3 linked regions of the Xenopus tropicalis genome follow. The protein of the gene in region 2 purifies or fractionates together with the protein of the main gene of each other region. This does not show direct contact. Links are inferred from orthologs where the notes say so. Each region holds a gene or a part of one and is shown on either strand. Other genes may lie near its edges.

Evidence for each region.
Region 1: the proteins of naf1 (region 2) and nhp2 purify together in Homo sapiens (affinity purification with western blotting; 3 studies listed by BioGRID and IntAct, with this or other methods). This does not show direct contact. The link is inferred for Xenopus tropicalis from reciprocal best matches to the Homo sapiens genes NAF1 and NHP2.
Region 3: the proteins of naf1 (region 2) and nop10 purify together in Homo sapiens (co-immunoprecipitation; 6 studies listed by BioGRID and IntAct, with this or other methods). This does not show direct contact. The link is inferred for Xenopus tropicalis from reciprocal best matches to the Homo sapiens genes NAF1 and NOP10.

Annotation. Positions count from the first base shown.
Region 1 is NC_030679.2:47,804,200-47,808,081, reverse strand, and holds the end of nhp2 (H/ACA ribonucleoprotein complex subunit 2-like protein), read left to right. Parts: intron 1-2,014; coding exon 2,015-2,140; 3' UTR 2,141-2,578; downstream 2,579-3,882. UniProt on the Homo sapiens protein: Required for ribosome biogenesis and telomere maintenance. Part of the H/ACA small nucleolar ribonucleoprotein (H/ACA snoRNP) complex, which catalyzes pseudouridylation of rRNA.
Region 2 is NC_030677.2:51,933,892-51,939,146, reverse strand, and holds part of naf1 (H/ACA ribonucleoprotein complex non-core subunit NAF1), read right to left. Parts: intron 2,526-5,255; coding exon 2,365-2,525; intron 1-2,364. UniProt on the Homo sapiens protein: RNA-binding protein required for the maturation of box H/ACA snoRNPs complex and ribosome biogenesis.
Region 3 is NC_030677.2:142,941,609-142,947,380, forward strand, and holds nop10 (H/ACA ribonucleoprotein complex subunit 3), read left to right. Parts: upstream 1-1,852; 5' UTR 1,853-1,894; coding exon 1,895-1,948; intron 1,949-4,981; coding exon 4,982-5,122; 3' UTR 5,123-5,417; downstream 5,418-5,772. UniProt on the Homo sapiens protein: Required for ribosome biogenesis and telomere maintenance. Part of the H/ACA small nucleolar ribonucleoprotein (H/ACA snoRNP) complex, which catalyzes pseudouridylation of rRNA.

The sequences.
Region 1 (3,882 bases), on a different chromosome or scaffold from region 2:
CCGGCCGCTGCAGGCAGAGGGGGCTGTGAGCTCCAGCAACCGGCTAGCTCACTCAGTGCCCCGGAAGAGACTGCGGCGCTGTGCGGGTCGCCCTGTGTAACTTGATCACTTCTAGCTCCGCCCACTCCACATGTAATAAGGATTTGCTTGTGAAGATATGAAGTACAGGAGACCCCCTACAAGTTGCTAGAACATGGTGTTATTATTTTAATTAAAAAAACGAATTTTTAGAAAGCACTAAGGGGTCTTATAGCTGTTTCAAAAAAAAAAAAAAAAATGGGGGATACCAGGTTTCCAGATAAAAAATCATATACAGAAGCATAACCATGGCAGGGTAGAGGGAGAGTCCTGGGAGCAGACATGCCAATAATTCATATATAATTTGATATGATAGATTTGTCATATCAAATTATATATATATATCGGGGACACACCTGACTATGTGGCTACAGTGAGGGTATAACTGCCCTTGGGAAGTGTTATCTTGCTCCTGGCTCGGCTCATGTTCCCCTCCTGCCTACATATTAATGGCCTCCTGGGATGTGTAGTTCCACAGAAGCTACTGCCATTCTGGCTGAGCACTCTCACAAATAGAAGCTTTGCTGTCAGTTGTGCTGGGAGACATGCTGCATTGCGATGGGAGCACACACAGCAGGATGGCAAGTACTTGATACTTAGTATGGCAGCTTCCTTAGCCTTCCCAAACTTGCCTGACTGTTAAAAAAAAAAAAAAAAAAAAAACTTAGCAGTAGCTGCTGCATTTCCCACCCTAGGCTTATACTCGAGTCAATAAGTTTTTCCAGGTTTCTTAGGTAAAATTAGGTACCTCGGCTTATATTCGGATTGGCTTATACTCGAGTATATACAGTAAATAATCTTTTAGTACACTTAAGGTATGGAGATCCAAATTACGGAAAGATCCCTTATCCAAGAACCCCCAGGTCCTGAGCATTCTGTATAATGGGTCCCATACCTGTACTATTGGAGAAAAATAGGGATTCTTCACAAATCTATCCTAATGGGCCTTTAAACTACTGGTGTCTTCTAACATCTTATATTTACCAGATCTAGTCACTGCAAAATGAGTGTGATTTCTTTACTTTAGTCCTTTGTCATACAACTAATACTTATAGACAGATCTTCTAAAAACAAAATTGCAAAAACAAATTCTCCTATACAAAGTCCTACTCAATTGTGCATAATACTCTTCTTGGTTAGAAACTTCTAGCAAACATTTACTGTGTAAGGGAATGGCACATAAACCATTGTAGGTGTTTTGCCACCTGAGTGATTTATTGAGAATCTCAGTCAAATATTCCTGGAACCAGTCATTGTGTATAACAAGAGGCAGCACTACATAGAATGCTAATGTTAAGCATTACACATATCTGCAGACATAGAAACACTGGTGACAATGTCCTTTGGCTTCCATTAATTTTAGTGGGAAGTGAAAGTGTCTGTTTTCCAGTGAAAAACTGCTCACAAACGTAACATTTTTGGATGGAAAGTGCTACCACGCTTCTGATCTGCTGCTATTATAGTCAATGGGTGCTTTGGTAGGCAGTTTAGGAAGGGTTGGGTTTGCTTTTGCCAGAAAAATGCTGGCATTTCACATTAGCATATGAAATTAAGTAAAGTACAGATTTTAAATAGACAAGGTTTTTAGTTAAAGACACAATACATTAGAATGTAACAAAAATGATTGTGAGATGCTCCAAGGTTTGATCCTGTATTTTGTAATGTTCTATTCTATAACAAGCTTAAATTGGCTTATTTTTATTTTTCCATATACATCTGATATTTAGTGTTTAGTCAGTGAGAAGCCATGCCCTGCCAGTTGTCACTTTAAAGACATCTCTCCAATGTAGCCTAAATATCCAGTTTTTCAAATTTCTTGTTATTTTAAGGCCTTCAACTATTTCTGAATTCTAACACATGATTAGTTAATTCTTGGCCATCTATCCTAGTATAGTATTGATATTTGTGTAAGGTGATACATTTGCGCTTGTTTCAGGACCTAGGAGCAGCTGCTGGCTCCAAGCGCCCGACCTGTGTGATACTGATCAAACCACATGAGGATTACCAGGAAGCATATGATGAATGTCTAGAGGATGTACAAGCCCTTCCGTTACCCTACTGATCTGGACAACTTTAGAGGATACTTTTCCATTAACCATTCTGGCATACTGTGAGGAAAATGGTACCAGACATTTCTTCGTACACACTTTGCATGCAGCTCTAAAGACAAACTGTGAGGACATTAAAGTGTTTGCTGTAATGTGTCAGCTAACCCTTCTGTCTAGGGCTGAGCCAGTTAGGAAATTACAGTTCATTTACTGATTAACAGAGCCTGTTAACACCATTTTTTTAAAGAAATGTTTTTTGGAGATGGATCCTAATTTTGGAAGGGGAGCTTCTTTGTAACAGATACTGACACTTGCTGGAGTACAGATCTAAATTTATGTCCCCCTGCCTGGTATCCCAAGATATCCATAGCACAGTGATATGGGTCAAAGAAGGTTAATTTTCAATTTGAATATAGACATATTACGAAATAAATGACCAATATTTTTTGTTATATATGGATTATTTTCCTGCCTATTCTCTCTTTAAGATAACTGCTCATTCTGGGAGCGGTCAAGGTGAACAATTAGTGTTTTAGGGTAAGAAAATAAAGCATGTTGGGTTTTTTTTGGTGGGTTTTTTTTATTATTCAGGACACATTTCCATTAGGGCCCTTTATTTGGCTGATGGGTCATGCTGTCACGTCATGTGGGTGGCTAAGAAAACATGCAGCAAATATCCCCTAGTAGCCATTTAGCGGGGTTAACAGGAATTGGCCCCTACAGCTGTTTGACTTCAATCAAAATCTTGTTAAAGTGCAATTAAATGATGTTTAGGCAGATTTAAAAAGCCCATGTTGTTCTGAAAAAAAGAATGATATAAAATTTTTCTAGGTAACTAAACTTTGCCCTGGTAATGTCATGAAATATCTAGCAAATAAAATGCTAAATTCTACACAAGGAAAATTATTTTGAGCACATCTGGACTGTGTTTCAAAAGAGGCCCTGGCATTTCAATAAATAATGATTTGTATATGGCATCTTACAGCAGCTGCCAGAACCCACAGATTGCCAATCGGGGACTGCTTTGGAGTCATAGGCTATCAAACAATGTTAAGACACACCTCTTGGTGCTGGAGCTAAGGCATGCATGTCTTTTGGATGAATAAAAGCCATAAATGGAAAAAAAATGGCATTTTACAATGCAATCTTCATTAGGCCTTTATTAAAGGAGAATGAGAGGTGTAATCTCTCTGGGGTGCCAAAATTCTAGGCACCCCATCAGTGATTATGATCACCTACCTGAGATATGGGTGGACTTAAAACTGCACTTGCCTGAAGTACTAATCTAGGAGCACCACATTGCAGTCTTTTTCTTGTTCTTGGCTCTGAGTGAGCATGTGTAGTAGAGCAAAAAGCCGACACAGGGTACAGCAACCACAAGGGGATCACTGTGAGACAGAAGATGATGACATAGCGCTCCTAGCATCATGCCCTGGGCCAGTGCAGTTTTCATTACACAGGAGCACTGGCCCTGAGTTGTTGATTATAATCACTGGGGGTGTCTAACAAATTGCCATCCCCTGGTGATTATCCCCTTTCTTTTTTAATTACTAATTGTAATAGCACATTTTTAAAAACCTGTTTGTACATGTTTACATGCCCATTGGTGAAAACAAAAAAAAAATTAAGTTTTTCTTAATACTAAACAATGGAGATAAATAAATGATATATCCACTAGGTGGCACTCTAAGTTGTTTAGACATCGAATGATGCAAGAAAGTTCTTTAGCTTTTCTATATAATCTGTTAATGTGAGT
Region 2 (5,255 bases):
TACTGCTGGCTGCTTTTTCTGACGTCTGACCCACATGGCTGTCATGCAAATTTGATCTAGCCGAACTAAGTGGTCGTGCCATGATTTCATGTGATGTTGTGAGCTGCAACTTATATATTAAAAAAAAAAAAAGAATCTGTATAGTATATACTCACATAGTGCCAGGAAAGAGAAATTATGTAACAATTTATAAGCTTCTACATTCAACTTTTGGTAAGTTGGTTAAAGGCACTATTGTTGATAAAACTAGCATAAACATCCTTATTTTGGTAAGTAGGGGGCTGGGAGATGATCAGATATGCATACTATGTGAAAAGTGTTAACCATTTTTATGATATCTTCCAAGGTCAAAATGATGCTTTAGTAAATCAAAGAAAATGCTTAGGGCATAAACAAAGTTACAATATGTATCTAGTGTAGCTGAATTTAGAGATAGTGACAATTTTAACAGGAATGTGTCATTATTCCCCTATAAACGAAGATATTACTAACCTCTCCTAGTACAGATGCCCCCTGCCTACCCCCAGCACACTGTGTCAGCCTCCTACAAGGATTAGCTTCCTGAATGACAATGTGCATGGGGGATCACAGCCCTAAGCAGAAGGCTGGAGGTAGACGGGGGGTAACTGTAGCTTTTGATATCTGGGTCTAGAGTAATCATAGCACATTCCTGTTAAAACCTGGAATGTGTTACTATCCCTTTAAGGCAATAAAATCCCTTAATTTCTAATATATATATATGAATCTAACACAAAGGGCTGACAAGTACAAGCAGGTTACATATGTTTTGCTTGTTTTTAAATATGAGCACTGTGTGTGCACAACTCTATGTAACACAGCATGTTAGAGACAATAATTGTGTAGAACTGTCTCTCTGTTGGTTTTGTCTGTGTGCTTGTGATTGTTACTGTATATATGTCATTGTTTTCCTCAGCAGTGGTAATAATGTTTGTGGATATTTGTGGGTATTTTTGTCTATACTTGTGTGTTCACAAATGTGTCACCTTGACACATGACCCACTGCGTTAGAATAACCCCGGGGGCGCTTTAAGATTAGGCACATTAAAGAGTGGAATTTTCAGTAAAACATGAAAATTGGACTCTTAAAAGAAAAACTGTGTGCTGACTGTAACACAGCAGCGAGTTCACCAACAGTGTGTAGGACACAAAAAGAGGGCACTGTGACATTTTCCAGAGAGCCCTATTTAAGCAAACAATTCTTATTTCTAACTGATTTTGTGTTACTCTGTAATATGGGAGTAACTTTTACTGGATGATAACCGAGCCAACATATATTGATGTTGATAGCAAAACAGTTTCTTCTGATATTGTTTTAGTAGACTTAAAGGACATGTAAACCCCACACACAAAAATGTAATCAGTGAACAGCCTCTTTGAAATCTTTCAATATCTGCCTCTGGTTGTCCAGAGGTTAATAGTAAGGCTGCAACATCTCCTTAATCACTTAGATTTGCTTCTCCTCCTGTAACCCACTCAGCCCCCTCCCTCAGGAATTTGCTTTGGCTGTTGGCTTGTGGGCATGTTCAGTTGTTCTAAGCTCAGATTACTAAACATGCCCCCCAGTCTAGCAGCGAATAAAGAGATGGCATTGCTGGTTCCCATAGAAACTCAGCTCTAGCGTCTGCTTCAATTTTTTTCTCCCAACCAACCCTCCTGAGCTCAGCTCAAACAAAGCAGAAGTTTTATCAAAGACAGTTCTGCCTGTGTGAGCCTCTATTCTTGATGAAATGTATGCTGAATAAGGGTCTGTGTGTGTGTATGCTGTTTGCAGATTTAAATGTATCCAAATATGTATCAGAGGAAAAATGGCCACGGGTGAAAGCTGCTATTTGCTTTAGGAAAATGGGATGGTGCTGGCAAGCGGAGGGGACATATGCAGTACAAATAATGCCATTTGGGTGGGGGAGACGTGCCCAACTGATATACATTGTAGGCAAATGTAGGCTTTACATGTCCTTTAAGAAACGGCACTCCAAATTACAGAGACAACCCTTCTCCAGAAAACCACAGGTCCCAAGTATTCCTTAGATTCTATTCCTGTAATTATAAACACAACCAAATAACTGATATTTCTAAGAAAAGTGGCTTTTCACAGCACTGTGTAAAGTGTGATGTAACACTCAATGTACTGATACCTGAAAGAGCAAGTCTTTAATATATCAATCCAGCTAACATATGTACTAGTACTGGTAATGCTCTGCCAGTGGTCAACAGGTAAGACTTAAGAATCCCAATACAATCCAGAACGCAGGACAAGTAGCCAAAGTTTCCAGATGGCACAATGCAGTGTGGTGTAGATGGTAGTACTTATCCAAAACTGCTTGCATCTTTTAGATTACTTACATTTGTAACTTATCCGGTATTATATACTGAGTAAAGTCTTTAACCGTGGGTGCAAAAAACATTGTGTCTTTTATCTTGATACCCCTGTTTTCAATTTGGCCTTTTTCATTAAAGCGAATCACATAAAATGGATGTGGAACTGGTCCAAATATTTCAAATATCTGTGGAGAAAAGTGAGAAATAAAAGGCATTTAGCAGAACAGCACAGCGGCTTAACGAACCACTGTTAAGCAAAATAATTAGAAAATGTATTAGACGCAAACATAAATCATATCATTTACTAAACAAAGGTTTGAAGCCAGCCATCTGGCAGTGTTTTAGGAGATTAAGAGAACATACATTACCAAGAATAGTTAATGTGACCTGGGCTTCAAGCTCAAGTGTACCATTTGTTAATATGTGGTTTGATAAGAGCAGAAGTATATTTTTACATCCTTATTGTGAGCGGTTTGTACAGTAGAATGTTCATACAACATAATTAAAAATGATGCTGCAGCATGGAAAGAACAACATTATTAGTAGTTATCTGTCAATATAAGCCAAGTAGCACTACCTAAAATAGTATTTGTCGGAAAACTATAACCTCGAGAAAACAGAAGAAGTGTACACATGAAAATTGCTACATATACTTTCGCTTAGATTTAACCAGCATTTAACTTCTGTAGATATAGTAATGTTTGGAAGAAAAAAAAAAAAAAATCTATCAATAATGACACAAACGATAACATGAGACTTTGCACTAATATAGTGAGCATTCATTGGCCCTTCTATTATATAGTAGCAACCTAAATCTGTGCACCATTTGGGCAGATGCAGAATCCAGTTATATGCTACAATAAAATTATATGATGACAGTAGGGTTAGCATGAAACAGTTTCCTGACTACAGGTTTTTGCCCATGGGGGTCCCTGTGGTCAGGTTGTGTTGAAACCTGAAAAGGAAGATACAATTATTTTGCAATTTTCCTATAGATATTCAACCATGGGAAAAGTTCAACGTACAAAATGTCACAAATCTGTTTCTATACTGATGTTGCCATGTTTTCTTGCAAGGTAGGTGCAATCCCACCAATAAGTAGAGTTTGAATGCTTGAAAGCTTTCTATGGAGAATGGCAAAGTGACTGGGTGGGTGCCTTGATTGGCTGAATTCTGTTGGCACAAAAGTGGGACTGGGCAATCTCATCTGCGCATTTTTGTAATGGAGAAGGTGGTTGATAACCCTGTTTTCCAGAGGGTAGGTCATCTAATCAACTACTTGAACTTTATACAATTTAATTGATTCATTTGCTAAACTACTGTATTTGTGAAAGCATTTCTTTTGCAAAGTCTTCCCATTTTGGCCAAACTTTGCAAAAAAAAAAAAAAAAAAAAAAACCCACAAAACATCCTCTGAAGCATTCAACTCTATTAATCATCCTGTCCTGCTACTCAAACTCGGTTCTATTGTTCTATGTCACTGCCCTCGAATATTTCTGTTCTATATTTCTAGCTGCTCAGAAAGCAGTTATATTATGCTCCCTTTATTTATTTTAAATATAAAACTGCTTTCATGATACTTATGCTATATTTTACACATCAGAGGACTTTGCTGCATAATTACACTTGCTTAGTAAAACTATGAAGAATCATAGGCCATATTAACTCTTGGCTTTTTATGCAAATACTACTCTCAGTTTCAAAGCCACTTCTCGGATTTATAAAAATGCTTTTCAACAGCAATCAACAGTCTAAAAGTAGGCTGTATTTCTGCACTAAATTTTATGCCACAATATAAATATTTCTTTGAAAAATATACTGTTAAGAACATTTTTAATGATTTAAGATTAAAATTCTCCCCCTTTTTCCTGATAAATGAGCCTTGGCATGTAAAGCCCTGTTTATACTACATAGGAGATGACGCTACATTAATTATGTGCTATTAATAAAAGATTAAACTACAGATTATCACAGTAGATGTTACTGCTGCAATAAAAATAGATCTGAAAGCGTATGGGAAAAATATAAACTGCATGTTTCCAGGGATGGATTCCTTTTTAGCATAATACCATGGGATGTTTACTGTATTCCCAACTACTAATCCCTGCACTTTTGCCAATTGCTGGTGTGAGAAGAACACCACAATATTTTGTTGCTTTTAGACCCAGATAGGTGACAAGTACAACGATTATTCTAGAAATAAAGTTACTAGTAGTTGCAGAGCAGGAAAGCAGTGCCAATACCCAAATTAGGTGGTTTAAAGCAGAAGGAAAGGCTAAGTCACTTGGGGGTGCCAAAATGTTAGGCACCCCCCCCCCCCAGTGACTTTAATTGCTTACCTTTTACCCTGGGCTGGTGCCCCTGTTAGGAGAAAACTGCACCAGCCCGGGGTACCAGCAGCGAGTGTTTCCTCTTCCTTTTTTGTTCTGTCTTTGGAATCCCTGGGCTGGCGCATGCGCAGTAGATGAAAAAGCTCACTTTTTTGTTTAAGTTCAGCTCTTCACTCTACTGCTCATGCGCGAGCGCGCAAAGAAGGAAGAAAGAACAGGAGACAGTCGATGCAGGTAACCCGGGCTGGTGCGGTTTTCTCCTAACAGCAGGGGTAAAAGGTAAGTGATTTAAGTCACTAGGGGGTGCCTAACATTTTGGCACCCCCCCAGTGACTTAGGGGCGGATTTATTATGCTGTGTAAAACTAATTTGCAAAAAGACGGAGTAAAAAGCTGTGTAAAATAAATGGAAAAGAACGCCATCTGAACGTCGGATATTACGCCATTATTTTCCATAAGTTCTGGTGGAAGAAAAACCGTGTAAAAAAAATTACGCCGATTTTATGCAGCGCAGCCTAGCGATGTGTGGCGCATTTTCTCGCTGTTTTTTATACAGCATAATAAATATGCCCCTTAGCGTTTCCTC
Region 3 (5,772 bases), about 91 Mb from region 2:
GGCAAGGGAATATAATCAATGGTGGTGCCTAACTCTTGCCCCCCACAGTGACGGTTGATATTCTTAAGTGACTAAAATACATTTTCAAGATGGTTTAAAGTTCTCTGAAACTATACCCCCTGTGTCAAATCAGTTCTTAGCAATACCACCCCTTGTGCAATCTGTGCTGATTTTCCCAAAGATGCTCTGATTCTTCAGTGATGCCATACTGGATTCAAAGAGCAAGAAAGTCATATACAGTGGATATAAAAAGTCTACACACCTCTGGTAAAATGTCAGGTTCCTGTGCTGTACAAAAATGACACAAAGATAAATCATTTCAGAACTTTTTCCACCTTTAATGTGACCTATAAACTGTACCACTCAATTGAAAAACAAACTGTAATCTTTTAGGTGAAGGGAAGAAAACCAAAAAAACTAAAATAATGTGGTTGCATAAGTGTGCACACCCTCTTCTAACTGGGGATGTAGCTGTGTTCAGAATTAAGCAATCACATTCAAAATCATGTTAAATAGTCAGCATACACCTGCCATCATTTAAAGTGCCTCCGATTAACCCCAAATAAAGTTCAGCTGCTCTACTTGGTCTTTCCTGACATTTTTTTAGTCGCATCCCACAGCAAAAGCCATGGTCCCCAGAGAGCTTCCAAAGCATCAGAGGGATCTCATTGTTAAAAGATATCAGTAAAGACAGTCATCATCAAGTGGAGAAAATTTGGCACAGCAGTGACATTACCAAGAACTGGACGTCCCTCCAAAATTGATGAAAAGACGAGAAGAAAACTGGTCAGGGAGGCTACCAAGAGGCACTTACTGGCACCCCAGAAACTTTTTTCATGCTTGTGTTGCTCCCCAACACTTTTTCCATTTGAATGTGGCTCACGGGTATAAGAGGTTGGGTATTCCCTTTCCCCAACTATACTTTCTAACTCCAACCTCTTACTGGAGTGGCTCTTCTCCCGATATGCCCACCTACGGGTGGCCGATATTGGGCCAAACCAATTAAAATGGCGGGTATAGAAGCTGTCAGTTCGGGGGCCACATCAACCAGCCAATGTGGTCTCTGATCAATGGAAAACCCAAACCTGCCCAATCGAGATCAGAAGACGGTCGGGGAGGCCCGACATTCGTGCCCATACACAGGCAGATGAGCTGCCAAATCCTGATATCATGAGCTAAAATCAGCCCGTGCATGGCCACCTTTAGACTCTTTCTAAAAGATACACCATGTAACTACTACTCTTTTTAGACCATTTTAACTCCATCCCCACCAACCTACTAGTAAACACCACCTCAAACCTCCCCTGCCTGCATGTTCTAACACTGTCAGATCCCGTCTCTATGCTAACTCCTTCTAAGCATCCCCTCCTTCCTGCTGCAATCCCTTTACACCCATTCCAACACGCTGGTAGGTCATAATCTTTTTTGATATTTTTATTCTTTGCAGAAGTGTCTCGCATCATAGGTACGTGTTCTAACCGCTAAACTCACAAGTGAGCTGATTGGTCAGCGCCCTCAAGCTGCCTCAGGAACGACTGAGAATGATACCCAGATTTACTGACTAGTTAGAACAAAGGCCAGACAACACAAATAAGGATTTGGGGCGCATGAATAACAAAACAAAACAAAAACAAGTAGGCTGTTACTGCCCGTAGTTACATAACAAACGGAGAATTTCGCTCTCGAAAATAAGGCGAAATATCAACACGAGAGCGGGATAGGGGGTGTGGAGAAGGAACTACTGAAGTGACGAACTTTACCGGAACAGGAAGTAGTTGTGCGGAAGTAGTATCGTCACCCTGTTGAGAAAAACGTGGGGCGCTTGGTGAGTGTGGAACCTGCGTGTGTTTCTGTTCGCTGTAGATTTGCGCGTGTCGCTGCCTGACGCTAGAGGATGTTTCTGCAGTTTTATCTAAACGAGCAGGGGGAGCGTGTATACACAATGAAGGTGAGCAATGGAACTATAAACCAGCATGTGATGGGCTGATATTTTCCTTTGACCTATACTATTCCTTAGTACCTGGAGGGTCGCACAAATGGGCAGTGCAACATGTTTTAATGCCTATAGAGAAAGTTAAGCGTTTAGTTCCAATTAAATTGAAAGAAAATTGTTTGCTTAAGTCCATCTGGTGGCCACGATTAAAGCATTTTATATAGGGATTATAGGAAAAGTATAGTGTAAAAATAAAACTGGGTAAATAGGTAGGCTGTGCGAAATAAAAAATATTTCTAATATAGTAAGGCAAAAATCTAATATATAAAGGCTGGAGTGAGTGGATGTCTTAAGACATAAATGTCAAACCCAAGGCCCGGGGGCCAAATCCGGCCCACCTGGCTGTTTTATGTGGCCCTTGGTGAGGGTGTCTGACCATCCAGCCTGATCAATTTCCATTTTCCTCACATAGTAACTAAGACTAAGGGGTATATTTATCATGCTGTGTGGAGTGAAGTATTAGGGCTCTAGCACACGAGGAGATTTGTCGCCTGCGTTTTTTCCCCCCTGGCGCTTTGGCGACAAGTCGCCACGACAATACACAAAGAGATTTCATGAGAGTTGAGCTCCAGGCGATCTGCTACCCATGGTACACTCAACAGTTACCCCTCTCATGTTTACTCAAGTCGCTCAGAAAAGGGTCTGTACGATTTGAAACAGCAGGCGATTTGAAGTAGCCTCGTATGTTTTGACGCTGGCGATTTCCATTTGTTTAGCATTGGCGTCTTGTCTTTCATCTTGTCGCCAAATCGCTCTTTTAAAAATCGCCGGTGACAAATCTCCTCGTGTGCCAGAGCCCTTAACAGTAATGTTGCCCAAGGCATCCAATCAGTAATCAGATTTCAACAGTAGCAAAGCATCTATTGGCTGCTATGAGCAACATCACTGGTAATGTCTTACTCCACTTTTTACACATTGTGATAAATATTCCCCTTAGTATCTTACTAAGTATATTAATAAAAAATTTGGCATGCGACTTAACCTGTTTTTTAGATTTCGGCCCCCTTATGTGATTGAGTTTGACACCCCTGTCTTAAGATAATAGCCAGAACACTACTTTCTGCTCTCTAAGCTGTTAGCCATCAATAACCAATCAGTGACTTGAGGGGTGACTTGTCCGATATGGGACATAACTGTTCAGTTAGTTTGTGAGCATGCAGGTCAGATTCATAAGCAAACTAACTGAACAGTTATGTCCCAGATCCAACCCCCCTCAAGTCACTGACTGGTAACAGCTTAAGGTCCCCATACACTATAAGACATCGCCAAGCGAGCAGATTTTCACCTGATATCCCCACCTACGGGTGGGCGATATCGGGTAGCAAGTAGCTTTAAAGAAAAATAATCGATCGTTTGGCCCTGGGGCCAAATGATCGGATTACATTTGCAGCCATGGGGCAGTCGGTTTGGGGACTGCATCAACGAGCCGATGCGGTCCCCGATCCGACTGGATTTTATAACTTGGCCGATCGATATCTGGCCAATTTCAGGCCAGATATCGGTCGGGCAGGCCGCTCGTTTCTGCCCCTACACGGGCCGATTAGCTGCCGAATCGGTCCAAGGGACCCATATCGGCAGCTTCTATCGGCTCGTGTATGGGGGCCTTTAGAGAGCTGTAAAGGAGGAAGTTATGTTAAACATCTGTTTACTCCAGCCTTTATAGATTACATTTTTGGCTAACTAACCATATTGAAAATGTTTTATTTTGCACAGCCTGTCTATTTAACCACTTTTATTTTTACACTGAACTGTTCCTTTAAAGGCTATGTCCAACTTTGTGTTAACATTTATTTAAGCCCCTATTGCCAAAAAAATATTTTGCCAATAGGAATTTAACAAATTGTTTCCTTTAAAATTTTCAATGAAGTCAGGGCTTATGTGATGTTGAGTCCTGCACTGTCTCACTGGAGGAGGGTTTGCCGGCCCCTACGTCCACTACTTTTTACAGAGGTTGGCAGCGCATAACAGGAAGAAGCAGGAGCAGCTCCAGTACTGTGCATGCCTTGTTTCCTCCTTGTATTGCATAAATTGTATTGCCAGCCAGTCTGATTCATATAGGGCTAATGAGTGAAGATATGCGCTGCGTTAAACCTTCACAAGGGGAATCTGAAACCAACACAGAACCTGATTGCAAGTGGTAACTTTGTTAAAAAGTGTAGCGGAAATTTTTTTTATGAAGAAATATTTATTGTCAGAATATTTATTTTGGTAACGGGCTTGTGTGAATCCCCAGTTATGAAGTTATGTTCAGTCTGTTTTCACATTGCAGCTTAGAATCCTGCATATAAGGTTATTGCACATGTGCAATCACTCAGACCTCTTTCCAACAGCCTGCTTGTGTTGTGATCAATGGTCAAATAATCGAATCAGACCAATATCACCCACCTCAAGGTGGGATTCTTTACATGTATGGCCAGCTTAAGTGAAGAAATAGTCATAGTACACATCATGATCAAGATCGTTGACCACCTTATATGTACTATAAATCTGCCCTTAACTTAGTGTTCCATTGTTGTTCTTATCGTGCAAGTTGCAAGTAAACAAGCTATGCAACATAGAAGGAAAGGGACTTTTAAATGTGAATCTGATGGACTTAAAAACATTACGCAATAAGACTCCTGACTATGGAACCAAAGCTACAGCTTTGGTCCATCTTTCCCATCAGATTCATTGAATCACATTGATTGGATAATGAATGCTTATAGAGACCAGTGATTCATTTCCTTGCTCTTTTGGTCTGACTATCTGATGAATGTTTAGTGTGCTTGAAGTTCAAATCCTGCACATGTACATAGCAAACATAGCAATACGTTTCTGTATGCAGACTGAAAACTGTCATGGGACAAATGGGCGTTCATGTTTATCCAGATAACATACTTAGCCCACCTGTCAAAAAGTAGGGCCATTTTAATTATTAGAAGAAGTGATGGATCTAGTTTAGAATTTACTAAGAGGAGAACGTGTTTGTGTTTTTCTTCCAATTTCCAGAAGGTTTCTCCTGATGGTCAACCAACCACTTCAGCCCACCCTGCACGCTTTTCTCCTGATGATAAGTTTTCTCGACACCGTGTCAGTCTAAAGAAAAGATTTGGACTTCTACTGACCCAGCAACCCAGACCTGTGCTATGAGACAAGTAAAGATGACTTACGCTTCCTTGTATTGAATATGTCTGCCAACTGTCCTTTATGCATTGGCCAGCAAATTACAGCATTGTGTTGGAAGAATTCATTCACCTTCTTCATCCTAATTCTGTGTGAAGGCATGCTTCAGAAACTACATGTAAATTAAATTCCAAAAGGACTTATCCCTATGTGGTACAACCATTCATTTCGGTTTTTTTTATTACCTTTTGAGTTTTCATTCCTAATCAGATGGGATTTTCTGGTCCTAGTTGTGTGATAATAAAAACAAGTTTTCAGTTTGCTTTTACCTTTCCTTTCATTGTTCTGCCTGAAGCTGTTTGAATTAATTCAATCGCTGATTGGTTGCTGTGTGTTATTATTCAGGTGCAAATTTGCCCTGGTTTTGGTAAATGAGATACACAGACTTCAATACATTTTAAATAGCACTGATCATTAGGAATAACCTACTTGGCCTAATAGCTCTAGTAACATACATTTTTGAGAATTGAAATAGCTCTGACACTCTGCTTTGAAAAAATTACATTTAATGTCCTAATGTAAATTAAACATTTTCAAGTTATTTGTAGATGTAAGTGCTACTAAAGGCAGCAGTCTGTTACCATTTCTATTGCATGCACCTTCATCATTGGCTATGG